Caenorhabditis elegans: one gene and its partners. The protein of the gene in region 4 purifies or fractionates together with the protein of the main gene of each other region. This does not show direct contact. Each region holds a gene or a part of one and is shown on either strand. Other genes may lie near its edges.

What was found.
Region 1: the proteins of mlc-2 (region 4) and ctsa-3.1 fractionate together in Caenorhabditis elegans (co-fractionation; one large-scale study listed by BioGRID). This does not show direct contact.
Region 2: the proteins of mlc-2 (region 4) and myo-1 purify together in Caenorhabditis elegans (affinity purification with mass spectrometry, with the first as the bait; one large-scale study listed by BioGRID). This does not show direct contact.
Region 3: the proteins of mlc-2 (region 4) and ugt-49 fractionate together in Caenorhabditis elegans (co-fractionation; one large-scale study listed by BioGRID). This does not show direct contact.

What each region holds. Positions count from the first base shown.
Region 1 is NC_003280.10:7,230,790-7,236,783, reverse strand, and holds ctsa-3.1 (Serine carboxypeptidase ctsa-3.1), read right to left. Parts: upstream 3,932-5,994; 5' UTR 3,931-3,931; coding exon 3,764-3,930; intron 3,245-3,763; coding exon 3,082-3,244; intron 2,624-3,081; coding exon 2,487-2,623; intron 2,437-2,486; coding exon 2,298-2,436; intron 2,256-2,297; coding exon 2,164-2,255; intron 2,110-2,163; coding exon 1,942-2,109; intron 1,901-1,941; coding exon 1,717-1,900; intron 1,669-1,716; coding exon 1,330-1,668; intron 1,285-1,329; coding exon 949-1,284; 3' UTR 864-948; downstream 1-863. Other genes in the region: aqp-1 (Aquaporin), read left to right, coding at 1-41, 115-252, 298-628, 676-856.
Region 2 is NC_003279.8:7,263,677-7,269,314, forward strand, and holds the start of myo-1 (Myosin-1), read right to left. Parts: upstream 3,382-5,638; 5' UTR 3,260-3,381; coding exon 3,191-3,259; intron 2,611-3,190; coding exon 2,338-2,610; intron 1,961-2,337; coding exon 1,618-1,960; intron 1,566-1,617; coding exon 1,461-1,565; intron 1,409-1,460; coding exon 1,241-1,408; intron 1,194-1,240; coding exon 1-1,193. UniProt on the Caenorhabditis elegans protein: Muscle contraction.
Region 3 is NC_003283.11:10,370,570-10,375,352, reverse strand, and holds ugt-49 (UDP-glucuronosyltransferase), read right to left. Parts: upstream 3,033-4,783; 5' UTR 3,014-3,032; coding exon 2,788-3,013; intron 2,743-2,787; coding exon 2,629-2,742; intron 2,584-2,628; coding exon 2,267-2,583; intron 2,218-2,266; coding exon 2,047-2,217; intron 2,001-2,046; coding exon 1,841-2,000; intron 1,736-1,840; coding exon 1,146-1,735; 3' UTR 1,092-1,145; downstream 1-1,091.
Region 4 is NC_003284.9:17,454,771-17,458,503, forward strand, and holds mlc-2 (Myosin regulatory light chain 2), read right to left. Parts: upstream 1,817-3,733; 5' UTR 1,798-1,816; coding exon 1,660-1,797; intron 1,613-1,659; coding exon 1,480-1,612; intron 1,426-1,479; coding exon 1,277-1,425; intron 1,224-1,276; coding exon 1,131-1,223; 3' UTR 1,022-1,130; downstream 1-1,021. Other genes in the region: C36E6.2 (Nbr1 FW domain-containing protein), read left to right, coding at 478-665.

The DNA of each region.
Region 1 (5,994 bases), on a different chromosome or scaffold from region 4:
TGCAATTATGTTTGCAGTTATGGCAACAGCTAGGATGTCAGGTAATATTTCTGTGAATCAAATCTTCTGCTCAATTTTCTTTTTATTTTAAGAACTTTTATCAACATCTTTCAGGTGGTCATCTCAATCCAGCTGTTTCCCTTCTACTTTGGTCTCTTGGTCATCTCAAACTTGCTTGGGTGCCACTGTACGCAATTGCTCAAACCGCTGGAGCTTTCGTGGCTTCTCTTGGAATGTACTCTTATTACTATGGTATCCTACTTATTCTCCCTGTTGAAATTATTTTGAAATTTTCAGAACAATTCAATGCATTTGATGGAGGTAATCGCACAATCCTCGGAGCTACTGGAACAGCTGGTTGCTTTGCCAGTTATCCATCTCCAAATCTTGGAGTATGGGGTCCATACATTGATCAGTGCGTCGGTACCGGAGTTCTCGCATACTTCCTCTGCGTTGTTATTGATGAGAGAAATCAAATTCCAAAAATTTGGCATCCAATGTTCTTCGGATTCTTGGTAATGATGATCGGAACTGGATTTGGAATGAACATTGGATATCCAATTAATCCAGCAAGAGATCTCGGACCACGACTCTTCAGTTATTTTATCTATGGTCCAGGTGTTTTCCAGTTAGTTCACAGTGTCAATTCACAAATATCTCATATAATGATTTCAGCTCTCCATACCCTAACTATTGGCTAGCTCCAGCCATTGCTCCATTTGTTGGTGCTCTTGTCGGTGGATGGTTCTATCATTTCTCCCTTGGAATGCACAATCCTGACATCGAAGAAGCCGACGATATTTTTGTTCAACAACCACCAAAATCTGTAGAGCAACAAAAATTGCTTCAAGCTTAAATCTAATAATTATGTACATTTTTATTGAATTTTCAAATGTTTAAAAAACATTACTACATATATAGTCTTGAATCAATAAATTAGAAAAAAACTTAGAAAACGATGTTGAGCAATACAGCGAACATAGAAATGAAGAAAGCAACAGTTGATGAGGATCCACTGTCAACCAAATCAGAAAGTTGAATGTTTGGATTGAAATTATCTTGACTGGTATAGTTGATAACAACATTCTTTGGAGCCCAAACGAAGTTGGAGATCATTTGAACTGATGGTCCTGCACGATCATATGGAACCATGTGTCCCGCTCCCTTTACAGTCAGAAGATCAATTGTGATCATAGCATTGTTCTTATTTTTGCCAGAGTAAGTTTGAACATATCCAGCAAGTTGTTGGTTGTTACTGTAATACCATGGGGTACGTGGCCCACTCTTAAAATATAATTGGAATATTATTTAACGGTAGAAGTGACTTACGGTAAGTCCATTATCTTTAGCAACTTGAAGAATGTGCTTGGCATCTCCCAAATAGTTACAAACAGTATCGACATCTCCATTGTAGATTAAGAAACGGAAGTCGGTTGTGAGATTTGTGATGATATTGTTGAAGAATCGATTGGTAGTGTTGTATTTCAGAGTATAATTATTATAGATAGACATTCTACAATCTTCCCATGTGTTTTTCTGATCCTTCCATGCTTGTGGAATGTTGAGAGCATTCTGCACATTGTCACTGTTCAAATACTTTGACACAGCATCTTCATTCCAGCAAAAATATCCAAATTGATTGTCATTTGAGAAACGGTTGACAAGAGTCTGAACAATGAAGCAAGCGTTTCAATTAACAAACTAAGATAAACTAACAGCAGTGTTCTTTGCCAAATTGGAAGTTCCTTGGAAGTTTCCGAGTTGTTGATATTGCAAGTTCTTCTGGACCGAAGATACTCCTTGCATAGCACTTCTCTTGTGTCTCTTTCCTCCAGCTGGTGGTGGGGCTTGAAAGACAGATTTGTCATAGCATTCTTGGTAGAAGTTGTACTGGTCAAATCTGAAAATTACGTTAAATATATAAAATACAAAATCTCATACCCTTCATTTCCTAAAGCGTTTTGCGAAATGAGTGGTTGAATGAGGTTTCCGCAGTATGAGCCATCTCCTACGTAGTCAATTTTATTTTGAGAAGTTGTGAATTGAGAGAAATCAAAACTGTCAACGTCGGCTCCCTTTGAACAGTTTGCTTTGATGTCGGCCCAATTCCTGAAAAAATAAGTTCAGTTTAAAACGAACAAAACAGTTTTAAAATGTTCTTACTGCTCAGAGACACGTCCATGGTAGGCACTCCAAAGGGTAAGGGCATTGAGAAGTCCAGCTACATTCATGAATCCGTTTCCAATTGCAGAACCCTAAATTAGACATGTTTTGAAGTAATTGTGTAATTATTTTACCTGGAAGTTTTTGTTTGGAAAGGGTTGATTGGGATTGTTGATTCCTTGTACAATCAAATCGGTCAACATTGGAATATAAATTCCTGCATACGATTCTCCAGAAAGATAGAATGTTCTGTTCGTATATTTAGGTTGAGCACTGAAATTTAACATTTTTCTGTTACGTATCTAGACTTAAAATTCAATTACACATTGAAGAAGTTTGTGAGAGCCTGATAATTCTGTGCAGCTGATTGATCATCATTAGCTTGGAAGTATCCTGGAGTAGTAGTGTCATATGAATAACCAACTCCAATTGGGGATTCTAAGTAGAGAACGTTGGCTTTCTGAAATTTTAAATATTAAATTTATAGTTTTTATTATCCTAATACATGTCCCTGTCCCTTTTTATGTTTCAATTTGGTTTCATTTTTAAACTACACAAAGTTGTGTTTTATGTGCCTAAATTTGTTATCTATACAATAAATGAGGTTTCAACGATAAATTGCAAAAAGCAATAAAACTTGAAATTTGCGTAAGCAAGACTATTTTCTATTCAAACTTTCTTTTCTCTATCAATTCAACGAGAACTAAATATCATAACGTGGTCTTCGAATGGTAATTAGCAAACCGCCTTTGATCGAAAAGAGTTGTAGTCTAAACTGAAAGTTATGATTATCATTTCGGTTTTCATAGGCAACCGAGTGTTACAGGAATCTGATTTGAAATTCTTTTAACTACATAATAAAACTCTGGTCTTTGGAATTGCAAACAGCTTATCCTTTTCCCCAAAAATAATAATTACCGCATTCCATGCATATGGGTTCTCATAAAGAGTTTGTCCATCAAAGTTAACATAAAATGGACCAAGTTCTTCGAAAAGTCCTCCAAGAGATGAGCATCCTGGCCCTCCATTGAACCATACCAATAATGGATCAGTATCTGGATTTGATCGAGATTCTGTCAACCTGGAAGCACAATTTCTTTTTAATTTGTATTTCCAATAATTTTATCAGTTTTCGCATGGACAGCGAAAAACGTTATCAGTAAATTTTTAATTGTATTTGCAGAGAATTACACAAGAATTATGACTGAATTAGATGACTACTTGATGCTTCGTGAGGTGGAAATTTTAAATTAAACAGAAGAAATAGTGACAACAAAATGAATTGATGATTATTCAATTGAGAAATGACATTTCAAGGGAACTTTTGAAATTTTGATGAGAAATACGTTTTGAAGTTCAATGAGTTCCGAAAATAGAATGATCTTCAATCATTGTGTAAACTGCGAAATTTCACAAAAAAAACGTGCATTCGAGTAAGGAGTATACTTTTCAAAGAAGATCTAAGAAACTATATGAAAGCAAAAAGCTGGAATTTTGAGAAATTTTGAGAACTAATGAATTCGAAAAAAATACATTCACTAATGGTTCACTTGAAAATAAGACTTCAGATTTCCAGATTTGCCGAGAATATAAAACTCACATATAATGCATTTTCCATGTTCCATTTGCATTTGCATCGACATATCCAGAATATGACTTGAAATTGGCTTTGAACAAAAGACCGGGCAGATTCTGGATCAAATCCTTTTCTCCTTGAGATAGGACCGTCACAACTAGAAAAGCTACACCAAGTAGAGTTCGACACATTCTGAATAAAATGGACTCTCAATGATCAGAATTAATGAAAATCGTAATAAAAAATCTATAAAAATGCGGTAGACTCTAAAGAAATGAAGGTTGCATAGAGTTGCTAATTGATAAGAAGAAATATGCTTATCACTATAATAATTCGCTTTTTGAAGCCATCCTTTTTATGGTGTCGTATTGAAAAAAATGTGTTGCGAGTGCCAGTATGGAAACAAAGTTCGAGTCGTAAAAAATACTACAATTCTGGCTGAATAGATGTGGGTTGGGTTTACCTGTCAAGAGCAAATAATGACAAGAAATAGAGAAAACTTTTTGGTTCTGATCATTCTCCACGAAAAAGCTTTCAAACTTAGAAACTTAGAATATGGAAGTACGCTTTTGAAGTGACAAATTTTTTCATCACGCTTCATTGTAGCTGTTTCAGTTTAGCCCTTTAAAACCTGTAAATCATGAAAGTCTCTGACAAATAAAATGACCGTATTTCCCCTATTAGACCCCTTTGCTCTTGTTTGACAGTCTCAGTCTCAGTATCTCAGTTGTCTTTAGTCATATTAAAGAAGTGTCAACGGACAAAACACGTACAAAATTTTTCTCTATATTTTGATTGTTGAAAATTTTTTGATAAACGTTAAGGCAACCGAGATATAAGCCGTCAAACCACAGGTGCAAGTAAAATTGAGAAAATATGCTATTTTAAAACAATAAAGCAGCCGATGACAATCAGGGTTCCGCCATTCACGGGGAAAAACGTGCGTTAGACCACGCCTTCTTTTCAAATGTAGATTTTTTGAAAGGCAAAAGTCCGATTTAGTTTTTCAGAGCGGAGGACGATTTTGGAGATGTGCAGATTTTTCAAAATTTTTTTAAAGGAACTTGATAGAGCACCAAAAATTACGATGTTTCATCCAAATCTCAAGTTTCTACGTTGGATATGAGGGATTTTATCGATGAAAATGGATTTTTTTTGGAAAATGGCCTGTAACCTATATTGAAGTTGAAGTTATTTGAAAAAAGTTTACAGATTATTTTTGAAAATATCTATAAAATGTTAAATCAATAAAAATATCTCACAAAAATCTTTCTTGTGGTAGATACACCGTTGTAACGGAAGAGGAACCAAAGTTTTTGGACGTTTTTTGGTAAAATAACTTTGAAGTCATGTATCTCTGAAACTAGGATACTTATCAATAAGCAGGTTTTTGTGACAGACAGATAAGATATTTTCCATTAATTTCTCAGTCAAACATTTTGTGCAAAAATTTCTGCTTTTCAAGATATACTTGTCACAAAATTGGTATTTATATAGCAATTGGAAACATTAATTGAGAGTTAGGTACTTTTCTCGCTTTAAGCTGAATTTCTCAAACAAAACAAAAAATATTAATATGAACTGAAGCTCTGTAAACTTTTCATACAATTTTGAAGCGTTTTTTCCGACTGGCAACTCTTGGAATATACTTTTCACCTGAAAAACTGTTGCCACTCTTAGATTCTAGAAATTTCAAACAGGAGTATTTTGACAACTAAGCATATTCAAAAGAAACTGCCTGCTGTGAAATTGATTGAAATTTCAATTCCTACAGTTTGCATCTAGTTTTGCACCAGTAAGGTTGGTATTTCCTAGAGATAGTAATCCATGAACAAAATTGCACAAATAATCTGAAACTAATTTTGATGAAACGGATGTATCTCATGAAATAAGCAAGTTATGAATGTCATATAAGTTAAAATAGGGTTTATAGATATTTTTTCACATTTCTCCACAAAATCTTTCCAAGAATTCAAACTTCAGTCGAGTTACAGACCATTTTCCAGAAAAATCCATTTTCATCGATAAAACCCTTCATATCCAACGCAGAAACTTGAAATGTGGACGAAACATCGCATTTTTTGGTGCTCTATCAAGTCCCATCAAAAAAATTTTGAAATTTCTACACATCTCCAAAATCGTCCTCCGCTCCAAAAAACGAAATCGGACTTTTGCCTTTCGGAAAATGGCAAAAAATCAAATTGGGATATTTGGGTCGAAAAATATGTTTTTAGAATGCTGAGAACACGTTATTT
Region 2 (5,638 bases), on a different chromosome or scaffold from region 4:
TCTGTTGGGGAATCCCTTTCTGCAAATTCTAATTCCTTCCAACACTCCGTTACATGTAAGCTGGTTGAGCACAAGGGCGGCATCAATCATTCCAGATTGTTTCTTCTCGTTAGGAATGATACAACGGATGAAATGTGGATGAGTCTTGTGAAGCATAGTCATGAGCTTGTTGAGAGATTCTCTGTACATCATGGATACAGTCATGAAAGATCCAGACTTTCCTCCCTTGCGACCACCTCCGGCCTTAGCGGCGGCAGCAGCTTCTTCTTGGGTGGTGTAATCTTGCCAGATTTCGACAAGAAGGTCGTTCTTCTTCGAAGCCTTCATGACGGAGACAACGGTGTCGTTGAGAGGATCCTTGTTCTTCTCGAGCCAGTTCAACACGTTGTAACGGACAGTTCCGGCGTAATGCCGCATGGCGAAGTGAGCCTCTCCTTGCTTTCCCTTTGGTGGTTTTGGCTTTTCGAAGTTTGGATGCTTTCCAAGATGTTGATCGGTAAGCTTCTGGGCAAGAGTCATGTCAGTAGCCTTTGGAACAATACACTCCTCATCAAGCATAGAGATGATACCGAGTGGCTTCTCAATAAGCTCGATACAAGCTTGGAGATCAAGTCCGAAATCAATGAATGTCCATTGGATTCCTTCACGGGCGTACTCTTCCTGCTCAAGAACGAACATGTGATGGTTGAAGAATTGTTGGAGTTTTTCGTTGACGAAGTTAATCCAGAGCTGTTCGAAGGAATTGAAGTCGAAGATTTCGAATCCAGCAATATCGAGTACTCCGATGAAATAATCACGATCAATTCCCTTTTGATCAAGAGTAAGATTACATTTCTTGACAAGCCAGTGGAAGACACGAGCGTATAACCCCTTAGCCATGGCTCCAATAGCCCAGTGAACTTGATCAACGTTCTGTCCCTTGGATACCCATTCGGTTCCGACCTTGACTCTTGGAGACACCAAAGCCTTAAGGAATTGATCGACATCAATTCCGTACATGTTACAAGCTCTCTCAGCTTCATCTTGGCCATCTGGCTCGGCTTGCTCCTCACGTGGGCGTTGCTTGAATTTCATGTTACCCATGTGCATGTGAGCCGACATGAGTCTATAACAATCCATCTTCTCGGTGGGCGAGAATTTGAGAACATCAAAGGCCTCGTCGGTCAATTGGAACTCCTCAGTGTCATCGATTCCTGGAATAAAACAAGTTAATCTCATTCTCCAGAAATACAAAACATACCATCAATGAGCAACTCAGCTTGAGCAACAAACCAATAGTTGGAAATTGGATGGTTGAGAAGAAGCTCGTCACGGAGTTGTGGCTTAAAATCTGAGTAGATTTGGTAGAAGATATGGTAACAACGCTCTCCTGGAGCTTGACGGATGACACGAGATTTCTCGAGAAGATCTGAACAATTTACGATTTTCGTAATAACTTCTTATCATTATTATCAACTTACAGTGTTCAATATCGCAGGAAGCAAGAGTTCCGTGCTTGTTGAAGTGAATACGGATGAACTTTCCGAAACGGGAAGAATTGTTGTTACGGACAGTCTTGGCGTTACCTAAACAACCAAATTATCAGACAAGTGTTAATTTTTTAATTTATGTCTGTACCGAAAGCTTCCAATACTGGATTGGTTTGAACGATCTGGTCTTCAAGGGTAACTTCCTTCTCTCCCTCCTTCAAAGCAGCCTTTTGTGAAGCTCCGACGGTGGCAAAGTAGCAAATAACCTTCTTTGTGTTTTCAGTCTTTCCGGCTCCAGATTCTCCGGTAATAAGCATAGACTGATTCTCATGGTCTTGAAGCATGTAACGGTAGGCTTGATCAGAGACAGCGAACAAATGAGGTGGCATCTCGGTACGACGCTTGCCCATGAACATACGAGCAACAGAGTCAGTGTAAATTGGGAGACGTTTGTATGGGTTGATGACAACGCAGAAAAGTCCAGAGTAGGTCTGAAAATGGGCAAATTGGAACATTTTGTTTCAGTCAATATCCCATTTTTATAGAACTTACTTCTTTAAATTTCAGTAGTATTCAAATTTAGTTATTTTTTGGAACGATATTTTTATATTCTCAATACTGCCTTTGTTGAATCACATATTTTTAGTACCATTCCAATTTCAGTCCAAAATTCCAATATAAATTTTCTCTTTACTCACTGTGCACATTGAGCATGACTCTCTTTGTTTCTCATCGTCTGTCTCGATCCACTTAAGATAGCATTTTGCCACTTTTGCGTGGGCGCACTATTTGCCTATCCAACTACGCATTTTCGCAGATCTTTTTTCCGTGTTTCTATTTGAAGTTTTTTGAAACTGAAAAAACTTACATAGATAAGCATAGCAGCGTAACGGGAACGCAAATTCCACAGAACGGAGGCGTCATTAAGGAAAGTCAAGTTGGACATGTCTTCGGTTTTCTCGAACTTTGGTGGATTGACTTCTTGAACGATATCCTTCTTCAAAGTTACATCTTTGCCTCCGGCGGTAACGATAACAGTATCGGCCTTTGGTCCTGGACCCTTAATAACTCCCTCAATGTATCCTTCTTCGGCATCTGGAATCCAGACGTTCTTCTTCGAATCGTATGGGCGGGATTGATCCTGTAAAATAAAAAAAATATAAAAATTAATTTATATTCATACATAGTTATAAAATAATTATTATCCTAAATATCAAAACGGTGAAGTTTAGAAGCTTTAAAAATAACGATCTACCGAAAAACCGGTAAGAATTTTAAGAGATTGAACCTTGAAAATATGTTTAAAAAAGTAGCCAAGAAACAATTTTTAATATTTTGCTGTAAAAATGCTCACTTAACCACTTTAAAATAACTCTATTGTAATTGAAAAAGTTTCATTTTAAAGTTTATCAGAACATATTCAACAAGTAAAATAAAGATTGAATCTTGTTCTAGTTGGAAAATTAAATTGAATTGTTTCTATACTCAAAATAGATGAAATATTATTTGTCGAGAGAAGGACAAATTGGGAAAATACGGTATTTTATTAGGTTCAAAACTGAAGGAACAATTCGTTATTAGAAGTGTATAAAAAGCAGCGACTTCAGATAAATTTCGAATATTTTGGAATTTGAGAAGATTAGGATTTATGAGGAGAAAAAATACGTCGAATGTAAACCTAGGAAAAAGTAGAAAGTAAAATGAAAGAAGTAAAATCTTACCGCGAGCTGTTGCTCTCTCGACCTTTTCAGGTACTGCCATCCTGGGTCCTTCTCGTGTTCGAGCGACATTCTTGATTTGTTTCAGTGGAAATTAAAACGAACGGCTAATTGAAAAATGAGGCTAAACAGGTGGGTGACTTCTTCTTTTTCTTCCTACTGCTGCACTGCACACAGCTCCACACTACTGTGCTCTGCAGGGACGGATAATAGTTTGGCACACACAAGAGAGAGCTTCACTCGGCACACTTCATAGGGCGGAGCAACTCAAACTCCCCCTCATCTTCCTCTCTTGCTTAGCGCCCGTGCGCAAGAAAGGGGGCTCTCCGATATCCACACAATGAACTGTTGCCGAGAGCATCAAACGTCTCTTGGATGTGCATTGTCCATACGTTTTGAGCTTTTGCGTCGCCAGTCCAAGTACTTTATCTTTCAGGTTCATCGAAAGAGTATGTTAAATTGAGAAACGAAGAGATTACTGTAGAACTTGTTGAAAAAATCAGAGGAGGGGGTTCTTTCGGAATGAGCCCGCGCTTTTTTGAGCACACATTATTATTGGATAGAGACATACGTAAGAGATTTTTGAGAGTAAGCGCTTGGAACTTGTGGGAGTAGATAAAAAAATGTAGAAAAAAAATTAAGGGATTCATTCTTAGTTTACTTATATTTGTATAAAAAATTGGAATCAGTGATTTCAGTAACCTGGACCAGCAAACTGGTCTTATTTTATTATTAGAAACAACACTATTAGAACATTAATGAATACTGTGTAAGAAATCCGAATAATAATAATAGATCTAAATCGGATTTGGACACAATTATTTAGAAAAATTTTAAAAAAAGCGACGTTTTGAGTTTAAAAAAATATTTTTGCTTCCATCGTGTTCTTTGAAGTACATTCAAAGTTGGATGCTTTGTCGTTGAAAACATTTGTCTACATTAAAATTCAGAAATCCATCAAAAAATTTAACATGAGAAAATGTTATATAGAAACTGTGCTGCCAAATAATATTCAATATAGTGTACCTTAATACCTCAAGCAATTTTATAAGTATTTATTTTTTTTGTCAAACCATGATATTCAACCTTAACGTTTTCATTTAAAAATCACTATTTTGTATTCGCATAGTTCATTCGCGATGTGCGCATACTCATTTCGATTGAGGACCGGTACGATATGTGTTTCACGAAAACGAGCATCCGCAATGCACTCACTGCGAGGCGCGTTTGGCACATTGTGGCCGACTTCGTTGGGGATGTGTGCCACAATATCACTGCTGCGAAGATCTCTCTGGACATATTATGTGCTGATCAGATATTAGTCTCCCAGCTAGGAATTAACTTTTCAGATTATTAGTTATAGATTGTTTGAGAAACCTGTTTTTTTAACTGTTGCAAATAACGTTTTTTTTGTAGCTTAACCTAACTTTCATATCCATTCTCTCCAAAAATGTGTTGTAATAATGATGAGAGACCAAGTGGCATTGGTGAAGGAAGTTTCACCGAATCTCTCGACTTTTTTGTGCCATGTCTTTGCTCCCCCATCCCACACTCGGATACTTCTGCGCATCCTCCGCTCGCCTTTTCTTCGAATTTTTCTCGTTTTTCTAATAGTAATATTTGCCCAATTTCTCCCCCATCTATATCTCTCACACAGTATTTGTATGTGTGTGCGTAAATGTGTGTGTGTCTGTTTCTTTTTGAGATTTTCGCTCCTCTTATTCATCTTTGTTCTCGGGGCCACCCCCTGAAATTCAAAGTGAACACGGGAACACCGATCAAGTATGTACATCGACCAAGAATTGAAATCATTTTCTCCTAGTTAACAGTCTGGAAACACGAAAAGTTGAATTAGTTTGTTTCTCAGCAAATTGAAATAAAAAATTAAAGTTTCTAAAAACTTTTAAGAAGACTCTCGAAATTTCTAAGATTTCTGTGACATGTACCATTCTTTTTCCTTGTAAGTATTGCTGATCTACTAGAAAATGTTGTTTCAGAATTTTTTCTTAAAAAATTCAAAGGATAAGTTAATTAAAAAATTACAATAAATATATATGCAAAAAGGATTCTGATGGCAAAAATATTCCCAACATTTTCGATATTTTTTAAAGAATAATGAAATTAGTTAGTTTAAGACCTTTTTGAGTCTATTCCCACTTTAACCTTTACCAGAGAATGCCACTGTTTAATGACTGCGCTCAATATGCTGTCAATTTACTATTTTCTACTACATACAGTTATCAACCTATTAATAAAATGACTTTATGTTCTCAAGTTTGTTTCCAAATACTGAAACGAAAAATTAAGCTCGTAGTCAGCTGGGGAAAAATGTTTCATTTATTTCCATAGAAATAATACAATCAGAACAATGAGTTTCTTTCGTTAAAAAATTACGTATTAAAGCCACTTGTTTTGACCAGGTGAATTGACAAAGTAACACATTATTGATAT
Region 3 (4,783 bases), on a different chromosome or scaffold from region 4:
ACTGAATGCCACGTCGAAGTTGTAAGCTCTCAGTTGTTCTAATTCCTCGCGTCTCGCCATTAAATCTAGATTTAAAATATTCGATTTGGTGTTCAAAATTTTGAAACAAATTACCATCACAAATATCAGAGAACCATTTTTCGTACATAATCCTTTCCAAAAAATTTGCTCTTGGATTAGTAATAAGGTACTCCCCAATATCGTCCATTGAATTATCATTGTGCTTCTCACCTGAATTTCAAATCAAATTTTAACAATCCACGTACCACCATACTAAATCCTTTCATAGTGATAACTTTAGCCTTCTTAGTTCCAGTGAATTCAGTTAATGGTTCATATTCAGTAATGAACATAACAACATCGTGACCTGCGTCAACGAGTGCATCAGCAATTCTTCCATTTGAAATTAAATGACTTCGACTAATGGATGGACTGTACACAAGAATAGAAGAAAAAGAACAAGAAGAAGGAGAAGAATAACTAATAAGGTCATAACAGTCACCTGCAACTTTTTCTAAATCAATAATTTTTTAGAATAAAAATTTAAAATGGGTTCCAAAATACTTTAAAACTGATTAGAACTGAACCGCAATATAATAAGACAGAACATTTGAAAAGTATACAACCTGAAGTTTATCAATTTATATAACTTTTTCATTCTGGCGGTGTGCTACTCGTTGTCAACTACGGTTTTTGGCAGAAAAATGTCGTGCTTTGTAAACGCAGAATGTTTTATTTTCAACAGGAAAAAAGATGATAATAATTGGAACACTAATTGATGGTAGAAAGTGGTTTCTTCAATTTTAAGGCATTGGTTGAAAAATCTAGCAGTGGAAGATGTTTTTAAGCTGTCTGGAATTTCCGTTTCTTGCACGATTCGTTTAACCCGTTGTTTTGGGCCACAAACAGTTTGAAACAAATAGAAATTCAAAAGCCAGACTTCAGATTGTCTGGAATCCGAAAAAATACCGGCCGGTACCACATTGACGCTTTTAAAATTTTTAGAATGAGGCCATAACATTGTAGAAAAGATTAAAGTCTACTTTCTATTTTCGTTAAGTCTTGTATGCTTAATTCACCTGAACACCTACTGGAAAATAACATTTATTTTTAATATTTTTATTAAAAGAGACTATAAATATCAGCTAATTATTTTTCTTAGATTTTTTAATATTCGACTGAGATCTCTTCTTACAGCACAGAAACTTGAAAGCATAAATGAAAACGTGAAGAACAGCAACGAACACGAATAGGACAAAAGCAATAACATCAAGATTATAATAAATAATTGTATTTAATCTTGATCCTTCCACGTGTAACTCTTCCAAAACGCCATGATCAATTGCAAATTGTGTCCATTTTGTAAGGCGTTCTTCTGGACTGAATGGCTTGTCTCTCATCATTTTCCCAATTCTTATCGCATTTTTTTTGTAACTTGGAGTGTTTAAAACTGTTAGAACTGTGTTTTTGAAGCTTTCATATCCAATATCCAATTTCAGAAGAACTTTGCCAATTCCTCTCTTTTCAACCATTCGTCCATTTCTAAATTGATCAGCAAAAACAGGAACAATTACAGTTGGAACTGCCTGGATAGCTGTTTCAACTAATCCATTAATTCCTCCATGCATTACAAAAAGCTTCAATCTTGGATGAGAAAGAATATCTACTTGTGGTAACCATTCAGCTACATCCACGTTTTTAATTCCTTCGACCAATTTCTTGGTATTATTGTCGCCTGCAAAAAATTAGTATCTTGACAAATTACTATGGGGGATTTATTTTTAAATTCTTCTGAAGCTTCTGCACTATTCGATGTACTCTGGAACCGTCAATTATTTACCTTTGGCAATTTTAATAAGGAAATGATAATCTGATATTTCCTGGATTGCACGCAATACCCCTTCCTTTGCCGCTGCTGGTAGATCTCCAAATGGTATGATTGAACCAAGTGAAATGATTACGACACCTTCTTTTCCTTTTGACATTATGTTTGTGAACTTCTAAAAAACTATATTCAGATAATTTTAAAATCAAATATTGTGTAACCTTATCAAGTGGTTTGCTAACTTTTGGAATTCCCAATCCACCGACATAAATTGCTTTTGTGATAGTTGGTCTTGGTAAATCAAGTACTTCATCGGAATTTACAAAGCAAAGTGAAGAGTTTGCAGCGATTTCTCTGACATTTGGGAAGTCTGGGATGTACTTACGGAAGACCTGTGATTAGTGAAAAAGATTAGTTTTAGGTTAAATTAAAATAAACTACCTCTGTAGTTCCATCAGTTCCGTATCTATGAATAAGGATTGAACCAATTTTCATATACAAGTTGAAAGTTCTCTGCCAAAAATCCATCTTATCACCATTGTCATTTTCTTCGATTGTTGGAACATACGAACTTGGTGCTGGAATTCCCAAATTATAACTAACTGCATCCATAATTGGTGTAGTTGAAATCCATAAATGATTTTTAATTCCAAGATATCTGACAATTCCAACTCCACACAAATCAATTTGTTCACTGAATGCCACGTCGAAGTTGTAAGCTCTCAGTTGTTCTAATTCCTCGCGTCTTGTCATTAAATCTAAATTTTAAAAAATGTTTCGAAAATAATATTGGGTCTTGTCACCATCACACGCGCCTGTGCACGTTTTCTCAAACATTAATCTTTCCAAAAAGCTTAATCTGGAGCTCGATAATAGGTATTCTCCGATTCCATCCATGTCTTCAGCAAACTTTGTACCTGAAACAGTGTTTTTAGTGTTGTTAGAGTCAAATCATAACTCACTAAATCCTTTCATAGTGATAACTTTAGCCTTCTTAGTTCCAGTGAATTCAGTTAATGGTTCATATTCAGTAATGAACATAACAACATCGTGACCTGCGTCAACGAGTGCATCAGCAATTCTTCCATTTGAAATTAAATGACTCCGACTTATGGATGGACTGTACACAAGAATTTTTCCTGCATCAACTGCTAGAAGAGATAGGAGAAGAAATAAAAAGGTATACATGCCCAAGATGGATCTGAAATTCAAAACGTTCAAATTCACGTATTATCAACTCCTGAAACTACTGAAAATAAAAAAAAGATTCAATAGAATGCACATTCGAAAAATCGAATACGAACGTGAAATATAACAATTATCTTACTGTTAAAAACACTTTGTGTGTCTTATCTATAAATTCTTCTATACCCATTTTCATCGAACCTTTATCAATTTAGTGAAAGGTCGATAAAATTCAAGAAGCTACAAAGAACCACGTTTTCACATGAATAGTACTAGAAATTCAACAAAATAAAAATTAAAAAAAACAAGAGAAACACACAGTGAAAAATGAAAAAAATAATCGAATCATGGAACGATTGGCAGCGGAAACAGAAATGAAATATGAAGGGAGAGAAATGGCAGACAGTAGCACCCTAACAATTTTCATTTCAATGAATCAGAATTCATTGGAGAATGAAGAACAAAAAATATATGAAAATTATTTTTTCACCTACGAAATCACAAAATGAGAAATCTGAAATTACATTTGATGGTTCACTTTTACAAACTCGAATAACCCATATTTTATAGAAAAATTTAAAATGCAGGTCTTTAATTTTTTAAGTTTTGATATTTTTAAAAAATTGGTTTCTTCACTTCTTAATACTGAAAGGAAATGAAGCATTATGGGAGAACTTTGTTCGTAACTTGTTCTTTAGGAAAAAAATAGTGCAGATGTCGTCTGGCACAAATTGATTCAACAATGATCTCGACAGTATTTTGACTTATTGGTCGAAACATCTACTCTAAAAAATACCGTGTTTTGTAGACTATTTCTAGTGAGTGCTTGTAGTGGTTAGACATAAGAATTAGATGGTGATACAGAGAAAACACAACCATTCACTGATACATTGACAGTTTTTGGACAAATAGTGACTGATGACAAGAATAGAAAATGACACGGGAACAAGATTGTTTGATAGGTAGAACCCGAGAATAGATTACTGATACGAGAGAGACGCAGATGGTTGTTGTGAATTGTAATAATTGAACTACATGTGACACGGCGAGAATGGTTATGGGAATTTTTGAGCGATTTTAAGATCCTGAGAAAAATGTTTGGGCGTACTTTGTTGGCAAACATGAAACAAGTTTACCAAACGAGGGAATTTTGTGGGGTAAGGTATGATTCCTGAATGCCAGAACGAAAATTCAGGTTTTTAATTCTTAAGTTTTGATATCATGAAAAAATGAGTTAGAAAGTTGAAGAGTATGGAAGAAACATACGCGTCTAAATAAGATGGAAAAACTCTATAATCTTCTGCAAGTATAGATAAGATATCAAATTCCTATTATGGACTGTCACTTATTTATTAGATATACCATTTACCTACACTTGTAAATCATATCTTATCTGCCAAGTTGGTACATCCTTACTATTAGTCTCAGGTCCTGACAATAATGATTTCAGAAAATCCCAAATGTAGTAAACCTTCGAAAAATAACTTATTCGATTTTTGAACTTTGAAAAGGGTTTCGGGTTATTCTCTGCAAACAAATACAAACAGCTTTCCTATCTGAAATATATATTTCAGATGTATACAGAACATGTAACGCATACACTCTAGCTACCTTATTACTGAATTTCATTGAAATCCCTATTAGTACTGCACTCTAATAGCTACTTTTGCAACACCAAACCGCAAAAATCCAAAGATTTCCAATACATATGTTTTATCAGTTTATAGTCTCATTTTTCGCCCCTATTTTTGGTGCCTTCCTACTTAAAATTCC
Region 4 (3,733 bases):
TGCATTATTTTCATTATCTTTTTTTATTAATTTTCATTATTTCACTGATTTTCTTCATTTTTGGGGTTTTTTAATCGGAAAATGAAAGAAATATACAAGAAAAATGCAAATAGTTCATGAAAAAATCACTGAAATTGCCTAAAACTGTAAAATATACTAATTTCAGGCTCGTTGTCGTCGTATCACATAATTTCAGAGTTTTAGGCAATTTCAGTGATTTTTTCATGAACTATTTGCATTTTTCTTGTATATTTCTTTTATTTTCCGATTAAAAAACCACAAAAATGAAGAAAATCAGTGAAATATAGAAAATAAATTTAAAATAAACCTTAAAACGTAAATATAAACTCAGGTTCAAAACGGCTTGTACAAATCAGCAAAGATAATTTTTTTGAAACTAATCGAATTTCTTCAAAGACTTAAATATTATTCAGCTACTTCAGAAACCTCATAATTTTAATGTTTCCACATTTTCAGAATCAATCTGGGTTATCATTCGAGTGCGGCCACTTACTGAAGCAGAAGCCGCGATGGAAGTCTCCGCGCAACCAATGGATCCATTCCATCGGCAACTCGCTGTGATGTCATTTGTGGAAGGACCAAGTAGCAGTGGGACACATCCATCTCCAGTGCCTGATCCACCTCAAGAGGACATGATGGAATGATTCGAGACCTTGTAAATTCTATTGTTATTATTGTGATGATCATCAATTATTTACCGTGGGATATCTTAATCAAATGTAAATTTCAATGCAGTTATTGAATCAAAAGTAATCTTCTAACTATTTTACTTTTAAAATTCAACGTAGCTCGGGTTATCAGACATCTGGTAACTCTGTAATGAACCTTATTGAAACATATTTTCTCATTAAGATTTGTTCCAATTGTGATAGACACCCAGTACAGATTTGTTGCCTTTTCCACCTCTCGCATTTCTTTTTCAAACTATTCATCACTTTTTTCCCCAATACCTATTAGCCTTTTTATAAAATAACATTAGAAGTCATTGGTATCAACTAATTTTATCACCACCATTTATTGCACTAATCCATTGAAAGATTATAATTGGAGAAATAAATGAGAAAGTATTATTTGAAAGAATGTAAGATTTGTGTGCAATTGCCGGATGTTTAGGCGCTGGCGAGCTCGTCTTGGGCTCCGGTGGTGATGAGGTGAGCGAATGCCTTGTAGTCAACCTCTCCTCCCTCGATTGGTGGCTTTCCCTGAAAGAAGAGGAATTGGTAAGTTTCAATGATTTCAGAAAGAATGAATTTACCTTGTACATAGCCTTGACCTCATCCTCGTCTAATGGCTCTCCTCTCTTGTTTTGAAGGATCTTGATAAGGTCGTCCTCCTTGATCTTTCCGCAGTCCTTCTTATCGAACATAGCAAAAGCTCCAACAATGGTGGCCTCTGGGTCAGTTCCTGAAATTATTGCAATAATGAATTGAATTCCATTAGAAAATCTGAAAAGCCTACCTGTCAATCTCTCCCCGAAAAGGGTGAGGAAGACGGTGAAGTTGATTGGTCCGGATGCCTCCTTGATCATGGCGTCGATCTGGCTGTCTGGGGCGATTTGTCCCATGGATGCGTAGAGATCCTTGAGGTCAGACTAAAAATTGTTCATTAGTATCATTTTAAAACTTAAAAAAAGCTAACCTTGTCGATGATTCCGTCCTTGTTCTGATCCATGATTCCGAAGGCCTCCTTGAACTCCTGGATGGTCTTCTGGTCGAATTGGGCGGCCTCGGATCCCGAGCGCTTCTTTGAGGACTTCTTCTTGGCGGCCTTGGACATGTTGGAAAAGGTTCTCTACCTGAAACTCAGTTATTTGTTTACAGGTAGCACACAAAATTGTCGAAACAATGATAGAAGTAAATTGCTTGGGAAACGAACAAATTAAAATTAAAAATGCACCCATGAAAAGTATGAAGAAGAAGCCTTTTCCAAGTCCCGATCTTGTCGAGAGCATTGAGATAATAATGGTTGGTTGGTAGGCGTATGGGAAGGAGGAGTAGCTGGATGGGAGGAATGTGATACGAAAAGAGACCGAGAGGAGGTGCTCTCTCCACGGCGGGCAAAGTTAGTAGGCAATTGGTGGAGGGTGGCAGATTCCCGGGATGCCGTTTGAGATAGAGTGTAACACAGCGGGCAGCGATCAGTTTTGCCAGCAGAGATAATGTGTCCCAAGCAGAAGCTCGACACAAAGAGCGCTAGAAAGAGCAGTGCCCGTGATCCGTGCGCCGTGTCTGTGCTCTCTTTGGGGATCTCAGACTTTCTGATCACCCTCACACGGCCGGGAAGATATACGCAATATCTGTTTGTGAAGAAACGACAAACGCAAATATCTACAGAGTTGCGGCAACGCATGGGGGAGAGAATTTTTGGAAAAGCCAACTGTTTGGCTTCGAATATTTTCTCAAGTACATCTCTCTCAAAAGCAGGTAAAAGTTAAGGTGGTAGGCTTTTTGCTGCGCGCAGAAAAGCGAGGGTGGAGAGCAGGGAATCTAGGGATTTTTGGGAGATGAATGATCAGAGTTGCACTGAGGGTGGCCCATTAACACAAAATAGGAATTAGAAAGAATATAACTTTGAATGTTGAATGAAAACATGTAACATCGAATATTGTTTCTAATGGCTGAAGACAAATTAACAAGTTCGTAAAAAGAGAACAATTGAAAGGAATGTTTATAAGTGGTTTTTATTGTTTTTCTAGCAAGAACTTTTCCGAAGATAAAAAATTGAATGTTCAGATTGTTTTGTATCTCATGAGCCCAGTAGAAATCTTTACTACTTCATAAGTATGGAAATCAAAATAAAACATTACAAAACATAAATTTTTCGAAAAATTGAAATTATGTTCAACAAAAATGCCAAGCGACTGGAAAATTGTATCCAATGTTTCTTTGCCAACTTTAAAATTGTATATTTTGTTTCTAGTAGTTGTGCTTGCTGATTATCAAAAAATTGAAGAAGACATTGTTCAACAATTGATTTTTAGAGGCGACAGCTAATCTGAACTTGTGATTCTAACGTGTTGTAACAAATTTTCAAAGCGCGTTTTCCAGACCATCATCGTACTTTTCAAAACATTAATGGTTTACTGTTTGAAGTTTTCAGAGGAAACATTTGATTTACACAAATTGTTGTAATTGGAATTAGAACTATTGTTTATGCTTCAATTTCGTTAAAGCAATTTTTTCACAATTTTGTTTGATGTATATTGGAAAAAAAAATTCAATTATTCATTTTACAAACGGAAATTGTGGAGTGATAATAATAATAACTTTTACGAACATTTGTAATACGCTCATAATAAACATTAAATGATTTTTTCAAATTTACAAACAAACCAAAAAATTAACTCTTTTCGAAGTAAAACGTTTCAAAAATAAGTTAACAAACAGGAAGCAAAATTAAAAGCGTTTCTGCCAGCTGACGCATTATCTTAAAAGCTGTTTTCAGATAAGAGCACTGGTAGACAGAACACTCAATAGAAAATCAGATGAAAAAGTTTGAAAGTTGAGGAATCAAAAAAGTTATCCTTGTTAATTTAGGATATGAGTAAGAACCTCTTGTCACACTAATTCTGATGGAAGGTTTTTTTTTCTGAATCGTTTCTGAATTGTCTCCAATGAGAGTATAGTTCGAAACACAATTTTTGTCTGTTATTCAATGACATCAAAATTATTGATTTCAAAAATAGCTGCAAATCCTAAAATCAAAAATCACT